2 linked regions of the Caenorhabditis elegans genome follow. The protein of the gene in region 1 purifies or fractionates together with the protein of each later gene. This does not show direct contact. Each region holds a gene or a part of one and is shown on either strand. Other genes may lie near its edges. The genes, in order: lin-31 and lin-1.

What was found.
Region 2: the proteins of lin-31 (region 1) and lin-1 purify together in Caenorhabditis elegans (affinity purification with western blotting, with the first as the bait; one study listed by BioGRID). This does not show direct contact.

What each region holds. Positions count from the first base shown.
Region 1 is NC_003280.10:3,980,668-3,987,743, forward strand, and holds lin-31 (Protein lin-31), read left to right. Parts: upstream 1-1,881; 5' UTR 1,882-1,986; coding exon 1,987-2,153; intron 2,154-2,787; coding exon 2,788-2,869; intron 2,870-3,205; coding exon 3,206-3,286; intron 3,287-3,661; exon of another isoform or gene 3,662-3,853; intron 3,854-5,416; coding exon 5,417-5,800; 3' UTR 5,801-6,362; downstream 6,363-7,076. Other genes in the region: K10G6.5 (Serpentine receptor class gamma), read left to right, coding at 6,871-6,929. UniProt on the Caenorhabditis elegans protein: Lin-31 regulates how vulval precursor cells choose their fate. It helps specify three alternative cell fates in vulval development.
Region 2 is NC_003282.8:2,297,195-2,302,008, reverse strand, and holds the start of lin-1 (ETS domain-containing protein), read left to right. Parts: upstream 1-1,722; coding exon 1,723-1,746; intron 1,747-1,791; coding exon 1,792-1,879; intron 1,880-4,814.

The sequences.
Region 1 (7,076 bases):
ATTGACGGGAGGAGGAGGAGGAGGAAACCGTTTTTGATTAACTGGTGGATGGCATTGCGGTTTTTATTCTTCCGTAAGGACAACTGGTTCTTTTTTCTTCTATTTTGATGTCTTCGTTTTGTCTTTACTGGTCTGTCTTCGAAGTTGCTGAGCTGATTTAGAACATTGTAAATTTGTAAGAAAATTGATTTTTATCAACATAATTACGAAGTATCACGTTTTACGTGTGTTTTTAGAGTTTTCAAGTAAAAAATTTGAAATCAGCGGTATTCAAAACCTAAACCTTTTCACGGGGACTCGATCCCTTGACCTTTTGCTCCAAAGGCATTGCTCTTACCCACTGAGCCATCCGTGGCGCCGTTTTCTTAGGGCGCCGTACCAAGTGGCGCAGTGGCTAAGAGGGACGACTTTGAAGCAAACGGTCATGAGTTCGAGCCCCCGGGAGTTGATTTAAATTTTCTGATTACGACTCGCTGCGCCCTAAAGGTCCCTTTAGCTCCCCATTGATCATTTATCCCAAATCTCATTTATAAAATCTTTGTCCCGAGACAAACCCAGTCATATTTAATTAGAATAATCACTACCCTTTTTTGATTCTCCCACATACAATTTTTTTAAACCGAGAGTACGGTAGGTAATAACAATTTATGGAGAAGAATATTAGGTGATGAGAATGGGTGTCTCTACTACTATTATATATATTACTTTATTCATTCATTAAATTATGGTGGTGGTGGTGACGATGAGAAACTTTACGGAATTTATGAGTGAAATTGTTCCAAAAAAGTGGTGAAGTGTCAAATGGAATATCTAACTGGGAGGGGGGTGAATAAGGACAATGGGGTTAGTGTACTCTCGAGAATATGGAATTAGAAAATGAGGAAAACTTGCAAAAAATGGAGCTTTGAAAAAAACTAGCTGAAAACATCCTTTCAGAGTTGGATTTTAAGATTTTAAGATTTCTCTAAATCATTGTAGTGAAATTTTCTACTGAGGTTTTCTAGTTTCTTTTTCATTTGGTATACATTTTTTTGTAGAAAATGTTCACCAAAACTTTTTTCGAATGCATAATAATTCAACATTTTCTATGCTTTTTAAATTATTTTTCTTGTTGCAGAAAACCCAAACTACCGTACTTTTTCACTAGGTGGTCTCCAAACTTTAATCCGTTATAACTCCACAAATATTTTTGATATAAAAAAGTTGTCAATTAACAAAATGTGCAAAATTTTATGACCAATATTTAATCAGTTGACAGTTTTTTGATATCTCAGGTAACCGCAGAGTTATGAGCGTTTGAAGTTGAAGCGTGCTCTAGGCTCTCCAGGTGACCCAAATATTTGAATATTTTAGTAATTCTCATGATTTTAAAATTGTCCAACAAAAATTCAAATATTGACACTAATTCTTCCCACCTAGACACCCCACCATTCCATGGACTAATCCCGTTAATTCGAACGCTTCCCCCCTACCGCTCTCGGTGTCACTCAAAATTTCAAACAAGTCGTGACAGTTCTCGGGTGGTCTGATACCAGTTTACCTACATTTTCAAAAAAAAACACAATCAACTCTTTCATCTTCAGTATTCCAGTGAATCCCGTCCCACACCAGATGCCCCAACTCAGCGGGGGCTGCGTGATACCCGGTCAGCAGCAGCACCAGCAACAGGAGTAACTGGTTCCTCCCAAATATAGGTTAGTGATGTGAATGTAAAACAAAGACTTATTTTTCTATTAGAAATGTGTTGTCATTTTCCTTATTACAAGTTGTTGCCTTTTTCCCTTACGGGCGGTCTCGGTAAGCGCTGTCTCCCCGTTGGCCAGCCCCGCCCACTCAACGCTCCGCCCTTCTTCTCCTTCTAAGGCTTGGCTTCTCAAACAAATTGACTTTTCCCAATCGCTAAGATTTCAATATATTTTGATATATTCCAAAACCTTCTTTATTAATTATCAATCCAAGCAAAACTCTATACATATTCCCTGAAAAATGCCAAGACCCGGAAAAGACTCGTACGATGAGCAGAAGCCACCGTACTCGTACATTTGGCTCACCTATATGGCTATTCAGGACTCTGACGATAAAATGCTCCCGCTCACGGAGATCTACAAATATATTATGGATCGGTTTCCGTTTTATAGGAAAAACACGCAGAGGTATGAGTTGGGGGTTTGAAAGTTTTTGAGCTCTAAGAAAATTTCTAGTTTTTCTAAAATTCCTGTGTTACTGAAACCCAAAAAAGGGGGGTTTTGTCAATTTTTCCAAGAATCCATTTTTTAAGGCCATTTTGTGAAAAATTTTCAAGTTAAATTTAACAAAAAAATCTGACATTGAAGTTTCCCTTTGTGACTGATTTTGCGTTTTAACAGAGCTTTGAAGATTGAAATGTTTTTTTTCTGAAATTTCGATATTTGTATTTCCATAGTTATTTTGCTTTGAAAAAATATACAAAATATGCTCAAAAACTCCAAATTTCATAGTTTTCAGTCCGGTTTATTTTGGGGTTTTTTCTCACTTTTATAGATTAGTTCTTGTAGTTTCCCCACTTTTATAAGAAAAATTATTGGGTTCAAAAATATGCAATTTTCAATGTTTTAAACAAAAAAAAGTCCTAGAAATATATTTTCGAAGTTTTCTCTTGATTTTTTTATAGTTAAAGTGACTTAAAAATATATGAAATTTCCTTTAAAACAAACAGAAAAATTCTCTAAAAAACTCAAAAAGTGTATTCATTAGTTTCAACATTTCAGAAAAAAAGATAAAAATCAGCTCAAAATGTAATGTTTTCAGGTGGCAAAACTCCCTGCGACACAACTTGTCATTCAACGACTGCTTCATCAAGATCCCAAGAAGAGCCGATCGTCCTGGGAAGGTAATATTTGTAATTTAAAAAAAAATAAAATTTCCGAAGTTATTAATTTAATTTTTAAAAACCTAAACAATTTGCAATTTTCAAAGATGAATTTCTAGCAAAAAAAAGTTACATACTATATATGGGTTTTTCCAAGAACTCGTTTGCTCTCTTTTTGTGCTCTTTTGCCCTCAATGAGCACATGCTCACTTTATAGAACCAACAAAACAACTACCGTAGTCCTTAGAGCTAAAGTAAATCTGCAACACTTTTTGCTCATTCTGCAATTTCCATGTTAAATCCTGTGATAATTTTTTTTCTAAATTTCCGAAAAAAAAACACCGTAAAAAATTCCAGGGCTCCTACTGGGCGGTGCACCCAAATGCCTCCGGAATGTTCGAGAACGGCAGCTGCTTACGGCGTCGGAAACGATTTCGGGTAAGTCTTCGGTTACTGTACTTATCAAATTGTGTAAATTAATGATCTTATCACTTCAAAGAGAAACGCAAAAATCTCCAACAAAAAAAAACGAAAAATTGATTTAGAGAGGGCGCGCGCGTGCTTCCCCCTTCACGATTTTGAGAGAGAAAGACAATTCTACAGTAATCCTCAAGGTTGGTCGATGACAGAAAAGGCGAGAAATTTGTTTTAAATACGATTGAGAGACTATTGGGGGAAGAGATTATGATGAACGGCTGCAGGATTGGATAAGACTTTGCAGATTTTGATGTGGGGTACTGTAGTTTAAAGGGAAGACTGTGAACAAATATTTAAGATAGTGTGGCTATGCGCAGGCTTAGGCTTAAATTTAGGTTTAGGCTTAGGCTTAGGCTTAGTCTTAGGCTCAGTCTCAGGGTTAGGTTTAGGCTTAGGCTCAGGTTCAGACTTAGGTTCAGGCTTAGCCTATTGCTTAGGCTTAGGCTTAGGCTTAGGCTTAGGCTCCGGCTTAGGATTAGGCTTAGGCTTAGGTTCAGGCTCAGGGTTAGGCTTAGGGTAAAGCTTAGGTTCTGGCTTAGGCTTAGACTTATGCTTAAGATTAGGCAATGAAGAGTACCTGTGTATTTGGTTCAGCCGAAATTGCGCAACTTTGAGAATGTACAAAATTCTTAAAAAATTGCAGAGTTGGAACTTTCAGAAATCGCAAATGCCTTCGGAGAATAGGAAGCTTCGGCACTGTGGTTTTGGTACTGACCTGCAATTTTCAAATCATTCTGCAAAGTTTTAAATTTGACAAAAATTTTTTATCAAAATGGTTTTGAAACGTTTATCTACATAGGGTAATTAACCTCGCCCCCCCCCCCCCCCCCCAAAATATTTTCAATTTTCACTCAATTTTACTCAATACAATTAAACAGTCATATTAAGATGAATTGACTTACGCGCGCGAAATACTCTCCTCCCGGTACTACCCAATAAAATGTGCCATCTGTTGCAATAGTTGTACTCCTACTACTTCTACGGGGGGGGGCAACAGATGCCTCCTATCCAATATTGTAGTGTTATGTTGAAATGAAAATGAGTGACTTGTGTCTGTGTGTGTATGATGAAGTAGTTAGAAAAGAGGACAAAGAAAAAGTAATAAGAAGTTGCAAGAGTTTGTTTGAGTGGGGTGAGCGGGGTTTGCACATAACTTTAAATTTTTTTCAACTATTCGGCTTGGGAACTCTACACCTATTGAAATATAAGGCTGTAGGCAAGCACTTAGGCATGTAGGTAGGAAGAACGGGGACATGACTATGCAAACAGGTATAATTCTGTTCCAATGTACTGTTCCAAATATCAAATCCTCCATACAGTCTGTCCTCCAACCACAAGCCCATTAAAATGACAGTCAGGCTGTCCAGCGGGGGGTCCCCCGCCGAAAAAGAAGGGCTGTCGCGGGGCGCTAGCTAATATGTGACACATATACATATAACTGTATCACTTGTACATGTACATAAGACGGATTGGAAACAAAAGTGATTCTCTTTGCCTATGGTTCATTCCATTTCGCGCAATGTTTTAGGTAGTACGGTAGATTAAATGGCCTTGGGGCGAGGAGGGGAGGACTAATCACTTGGAGGGGAAAGAAGAGGCAAGACAAAGATTGATGCGGTTTGAATTTAGATATTTAGGTGGTGGAGCGAGGTGTCAATGTTTGTCAGGTGCCTGATTTATTAGTATATGTACTTTAAGAGATGAATTATAGAAGTGCTGCAAATTTGAAAGGCATAACTGTAAGGTACCTTTTAAATTACTACCGGCATGTGGTGTCAAAGTGTTTCAGTTCGGTTTGATCTACAAAGAATGCTGGAGAAGAGACGCAGACTTTTTCGGGGCGGTGCTCGGGAAGAGCTGATTTACGTCGATTTACAGTTTTCCTCGTTTCTAGAATTTCGTAAATCGACACAAATCGGCTTTTTCCGCGCCCCGTCCTTTGGGTCCCGGGATGTCTCTGTCTCTTCAACTATCTACACTATCTGTACTGGTAATAGTGCATTTTCTAAAATTGAATCATAAAATTTTGCTGTAAAAGTTGAACGTTTTTTAAACACAGTTTTAAAAAATATTTAAAAAATTCAATTTCAGGCTCGCGGCGGCCAAGACGACGACGACGACGACTTCCACCACCCGGCTCCATCGAAAATCTCTCGCAAAAATCCTCTTCCACTGCTCCCGGAGCCCCCAATAACCCCACCACTCCTCTCCTCCCTTTTCCCAAATCTTCCACCATCACTCCCAAATTTCTGCCTGTTTCCTCCAGGCATGGATCCTACAAAATCGTTGCTTCTGAACCCTCTTTCCCTACTTTTAATGCCCCATTTCTTGAAAAATTCTTCGAATTTTGAGAGCTCGACTCCACACTCTGAAACATCGGAGATTTCTGGGTCGGGATCTTCATCGTCGAAGACTCCAACTCCTGAAGCTGGCTTCAACTCTTCTTTCAGTATTGAGTCGATTTTGAGCTCTTGAGCTTTTGAGCTCATCTCACTACCTTTTAATTATTAAAAAAATAATATTTTCATTAAATTGTGCCACACATTTTCCTGTTCATTTTCTGTCATCCTGTCTTTCTTTTCTTGTTTCTTAAGATTCGATTTTCTATTTCAATAATGTGCAAATGCGCTCTGTTAACCAACTAACCGACTAACCCAACCTAGCAGCCGACATTTCACGGGGCAAAACCTGTAAACTGTCGGCTGCTAAGCGGAGGACCTACTAACAACTGATATTATCAATGATAACATTCCACACATCCCAGCTCCCAATATTTCCATCGGTGTTAACTTTTTTCAGATTTTTTCTGAAGCTTAAACTTCAGAATGTCAATTCTGTTCTAAACCTAGTCCCTATACATTTGAAATTATTGATTTTCTAGATTTTTCTTCTTGTGATAAGTACTTCTTGTACTCTGTTCCCCAATATTTTTTGTATTGAATATAAAATATTTATTAATTTCCCAGGCTCTTTTTAGTCATAAACAACCAAATAACGTTTTTTTTTCTCCAAATAATGAAAAAGTTGCCAGTGGTTAGTTTGATTTTTTTTACTTGAAACATCAATTAAAAATGCCAATTTTTTCCAACGCTGCCGTAATTGTTGTTATCTTTGATATTTACCGTGACTCTCTCATATCAAATTTTTCCCGAAAGACTACAGAATATTCAAACAATACGAATGCAACGATATCGATGAGTCAATCGAAATTTGATAAATTGTTATGTCGAAATACTACGACTCCTCCTACAATTTGCGTATAAGAATAGCGTCCGAATTCTTATACATACGCTCAAAATTCTTTAAAAATGGATTCAAAAAAACCGTATAAATACTCTACTTATTGCTTTATTTTTCTCAATTGTATTCTCGTGGTGTTTCAACGGCATTTCGGTTTTTTTGCCACAATGGAATGTAGATGACACGGTAGATCAAGTTAGCCTTTTTCCGCTGGATTTACTGGTTAGATTTATCTTTATCTTTATTTCACTTGAATTAATCTTTAATTGAAGAACAACCCGCCATACTTCAGTGCGGTCGCATTGATGATGCTTCTTTCGTTTTGTGCAACTGTAGCTATCTCTATGTTTTACATTTTTTCTTTGTGAGTTTCTTTTTGAAATTTCTTGGCACGAGAACCAACTGAGTGGATATGCAAAAATCAGCTAGGCCCTAGGCAGGCAGATAATCTAGGCAGCCATTAACTCAAAGTAGACTGACAACGTTTAGGTAGGCAGGCATGTAGGTAAGT
Region 2 (4,814 bases), on another chromosome or scaffold:
CTAATTTTCAGAACATTTTTCTGACTTTGAGCTTACTAGTTTTTTTCTGAAAAAGCTCGAATCTTATGTAAAAATTCAGAAAATTTGCTTTTAATTGTAACATATATAATAAGTTCAAAAACTTCAATCTCGTAGAAATGTTGTGAAAAACTGTTGCAAAATAGGCAAATTTTTTTGTTGAAATCCTGAAGTTAACAAGACGGGCCTGCAATAAAAAAGAGTAAACGCAAGGCTATTAGGGAGTGCAAGACTAATAGGGAGTGCCATACTAATTTTCGGAAGGTCTCCGAGGGGCAATACTAATAGGGAGTGCAAGTCTAATAGGGAGGCCATATTAATAGAAGATATACGGTATGTGAAAAACAATTTTTTAGTTGGCAATTTTCTGATAAAACCAATGTCAATCAAGATGTCAACTGATAAAGTTGCATAGGCTGCCAAAGTGGGTTCATTTGAGGTTCAATTGATGCACCATGTCGTTCCTTCTTGGACAGCCTATATCTCTATTTATTTTAATGCTAGTAATTTTAAAATGAGAAAATTATAGAAAAATATTTGAAAAATGTTTTGTTAGTTGTCAATTTCAAATAAAATCAAAAGACAACCAAGATATGAGCTGTCAAAGTTATGCAGTTAAATCCTCCTCACTTTAGAAGCTCTAATTTCAGTTGATTTTAAAAATATCAAAATATAGTAAACTAGAAAACTATAAAAAAATATGTGACAAACATTTTGTCAGTTGACAATTTTCTGATAAAACCAATGACAACCGAAATATAAACTGGTAAAGTTGAAGTTTTTTTTCGATGCACCATGTTCGTTTAATATGATGATTTTCTAATTTTCCAAAATAGTTATATATTGGCAAGTGGAAAAAAATTTGGTTTGTTTTAAATTGATTAATAATGTTAATTGCATAATTGTACAATATTTTGTCAGTTGACAAAAACAACCAAGTTTTCAAAGTTAAGTCTCGAGCAAGTTTCGGTTTCCTACGTTGTTTGGCGGGTTTTCAAAGAGTTTTTTGGGCAATTTCAGACAATTTTGAGCTATTTTGAAGTAAGAAGACATACAAAAACATTGCAGGTATTATAAAATAATTATCAAATAGCTAAAAAAAAATTCTTCATTACACTTAAACAACTTTTGAGCAGACCAACTTTTGTGATTTCCAATATATGATTTTACTTTTAAAAAAAATCTAAGACTAAACCATTTCCCTCAACTTTTAAATTATTCTAACATTAAACCTCTCCTCTTCCGTTTAAAATCGTATTAGCCAAGGGAATTAGGCCTTTGAAACTAAAACTTTTCCCTTGTGTCTTGTGTCACAACGCATTAAAATTTGAAGATATTAATAATTGTCCCACTTTCCACATACTTCATTCTTTTTTTATGAATTGTACAGTAGGCCTTTATGCCTGCCTGGTGCCTAGAGTAGGCATAAGGTAGGCATGAGATCGTAAAGTGACAGCAAGTTTTGCTCATATCTTAAAATTATCGTGTTTTTATAATGTAGATTCAATTCAACAATAAGTGAGCAAAAAGTGTTGTAAATTTCCGCATTTTACAGCCCCCCTCCCGTCCCTTGTTATCTATAGAGTCACTGAAAATAGTAGCCAGCTCGTCACTCATTGCCACGTCATCTTTCATCAGCCGCCGCCACCCCGTACCATTTTCCAGGTCAAAAGAAAGCGCCGACACTCTACAGTTTACACGAAAATGAATCACATTGACCTTTTGAAGGTTTGTCCACTGACTTCATGACTCCTAAATAGTATTCTTTTGCAGGTCAAAAAAGAGCCGCCGTCGAGTTCGGAAGAAGCCGAGGAAGAAGAATCTCCGAAACATACGATTGAGGGAATTTTGGATATAAGAAGTTAGTTTATTTTTTATAGTATTTGGAGCAAAACACACTTGCTACTAAAAGCAAATGTGCTCAATGAAGTTTGGCTCAAAATTGCTGATAGTGATTTTTATTTTGAATGAAAAATTTCACATTTTTCGGCAATTTGCTTATTGTGATTTGAACAGTCGAAATGTGAAATGAAAAATTAGGGGACATGGTGCATTGATTGGGCAACTTTGGCAGTTTATATTTCGGTTAATGTTTAAGATACGAAAAAATATGTAACTACAAAGTTATAGAACAACATATGAAATTTGTTTTGTTAGTTAAAAGTTTTTTGATAGAACCAAAGATAGCCAAGGAAAGTGGTGACAAAGTTATGCACCATGTTTGAACCTCTACACTTTAGGAGCACATATTTCGGTTCATTTTTAAAATATCAACATATAGTAAAATACAAAACTATAGAAAAATATGTGAAAAACAATTTTTTAGTTGACAATTTTCTGATAAAACCAATGTCAATCAAGATATCAACTGATAAAGTTGCATAAGCTGCCAAAGTGGGTTCATTTGAGGTTAATTTGTTGGACAGCCTATATCTCTATTTATTTTAATGCTAGTAATTTTAAAATGAAAAAATTATAGCAAAATATTTGAAAAATGTTTTGTTAGTTGACAATTTCAAATAAAATCAAAAGACAACCAAGATATGAGCTGATGCACCATGTTAAATCCTCCTCACTTTAGAAGCTCTAATTTCAGTTGATTTTAAAAATATCAAAATATAGTAAACTAGAAAACTTTAAAAAAATATGTGACAAACATTTTGTCAGTTGACAATTTTCTGATAAAACCAATGACAACCGAGTCAATGACAATGACAATGACAATGACAACTGGTAAAGTTGAAAGGATGTTCGAACAATATGATACTTTTCTACTATAGTGGCAAGTGGAGCTATTGGCACATTCTCAAAATATTTTACTAACTAGTCTAGTAGAACAAGTTTCAAACCAATTTGTTCTTCCTGCCAGACGGCTGAATAAACCGTAACGACCATGCTCTTCCACCTGTCGGTTGATGCTCAACTACTGATTCCTCTCCCTGCCACTTTTTTCTCTTTTTTTCTGAATTTAGTTTTGGTTTTTGCGGGTAAAATCCGATAAGAATTGATGAATGTGTGTCGCTTTGGGTAGAGCAGCTAATCCGTATTTGGTTTTAATGATGATTTGATGATTTAGTATGGTGTTTCTTTTTTCTCAAGTTTTTGAGTAGAATTTTCAAGAAATTTGTGAGAAAAATGACTTAAATTTTGCCAAAACATAGGGTATTTTTTAAAACTTTGAGCAGAATTTTCAAAAAAAATAACACGATAAAATTCAATTCTAAAATAATTGTCAAGACGAAATTTTCGGTATAAATCCAACTCCCTCTATACATATTTCCGCCTCACAGTACCGCAGGTCCCCCATTTTTGTTTGATTTCTACCGCATTTTCACACCCAATCACTTTTGTATATATATACATACGACATATGGTGTCAATTAATAAGTCGGAGGGGAGGGTGTGTGTTTGATACGTTTATATATTTAGATACTTCTTGTTGAAGAGTCAAGTTAAATCAAACCACATGACAATGTTTAGAGCTTTAAAGGTTCATAACTGGAACTATTGTTTTTATATCCATTTGCAAAACGTTACATTAAACACATGGCTGGAATAAAATACAACCTTTTGTCTTTACTATGCCACAGAGTCTGTAATAGTGTCCTCCAATAATTTAATGCATTTTTACGTGCTTTGCAATTTTTCTGAAAGTATCTTCAAATGGGTGAAAATCACTCATTTTGATATTCTTCTATACCTTTGAATTTTCTTGATATATATGCTTTACTGTTACCCCTAAAACCATCCCAACTAGCATCTGTTCTTCACTATTTACGGGTCTCTTGTCTTCCTTATCTGTTGTTATTGTTGTTGTGCTCTTTCGGAGCAGCTGAAGTTGCGGATTAAAGTCATCTGCGACCAAAATTGACGGATCGGAATATATGGCCGACAAAGAAGAGGTGCTTGAATGGGGTGAAGTGGGGGTCCTAAAAAGATCAGTCATCCGGAATGTTTTTAGGGTAGTATCATATGAAAAACCCCTCTACTCAATTCATATTAAATATTTTGTCAGCCCCTGAAACCTCTTTATCCAACAAGAAAACCGTACTAATGATAGGTTATATCGGAAAGATGTGGAAGGGTGGAACATAAATATTATTGCGTCTTCACGGATTTTTGTGAGATCATCATTTTGGAGATAACCAGGGGGGAAGGTCATCAAAAGGTGCGACTGATAGGCATCTGGTAGTGCATGATTCAGTTTTAGTAGTGTATTTGCTTTTTTTTGAGGACATGAGAAAAATTTAGGAAATTTTTGAACCCACCTTGAGAATTTTGGAATAACTGCTGTAGCCTCTCCTAGGGCTTCCACCAGGGGTGTGCGGCAAATCTCAAAATTTGCCGAGCTCGGTAAATTCGGCAAATCTCTTTTTTCAATATTTGCCGAGCACGGCAAATTCGGCAAATTCGGCAAATTCGGCAAATTCGGCAAATTCGCCGTGCTTAACAAACTCGGAAAAATTTGATATTTTTTTTATGTTTTTTGGAGCACCAAAACTACTGAATTCTTAACACACATCTGGTTTCTGAATAAGTTCCGCGTAGTATGTCTGTTTAAGCATCAAAATAGCTCAATTTTGTATCATTTTACTAAATTTTTGGCTAAAAAATCAATAGTTTTAGTCAAAATTGTACTGTCAAATTTTTGACGTGTGCGGCAAATTCGGCAAATTCGGCAAATCTACTTTTTTGAAATTTGCCGTGCTCGGCAAATTCGGCAAATTCGGCAAATTTGCCGCACACCCCTGGCTTCCACGTAGGCGATAAAACGCCTGCCTGCCTGACTTTAAGGC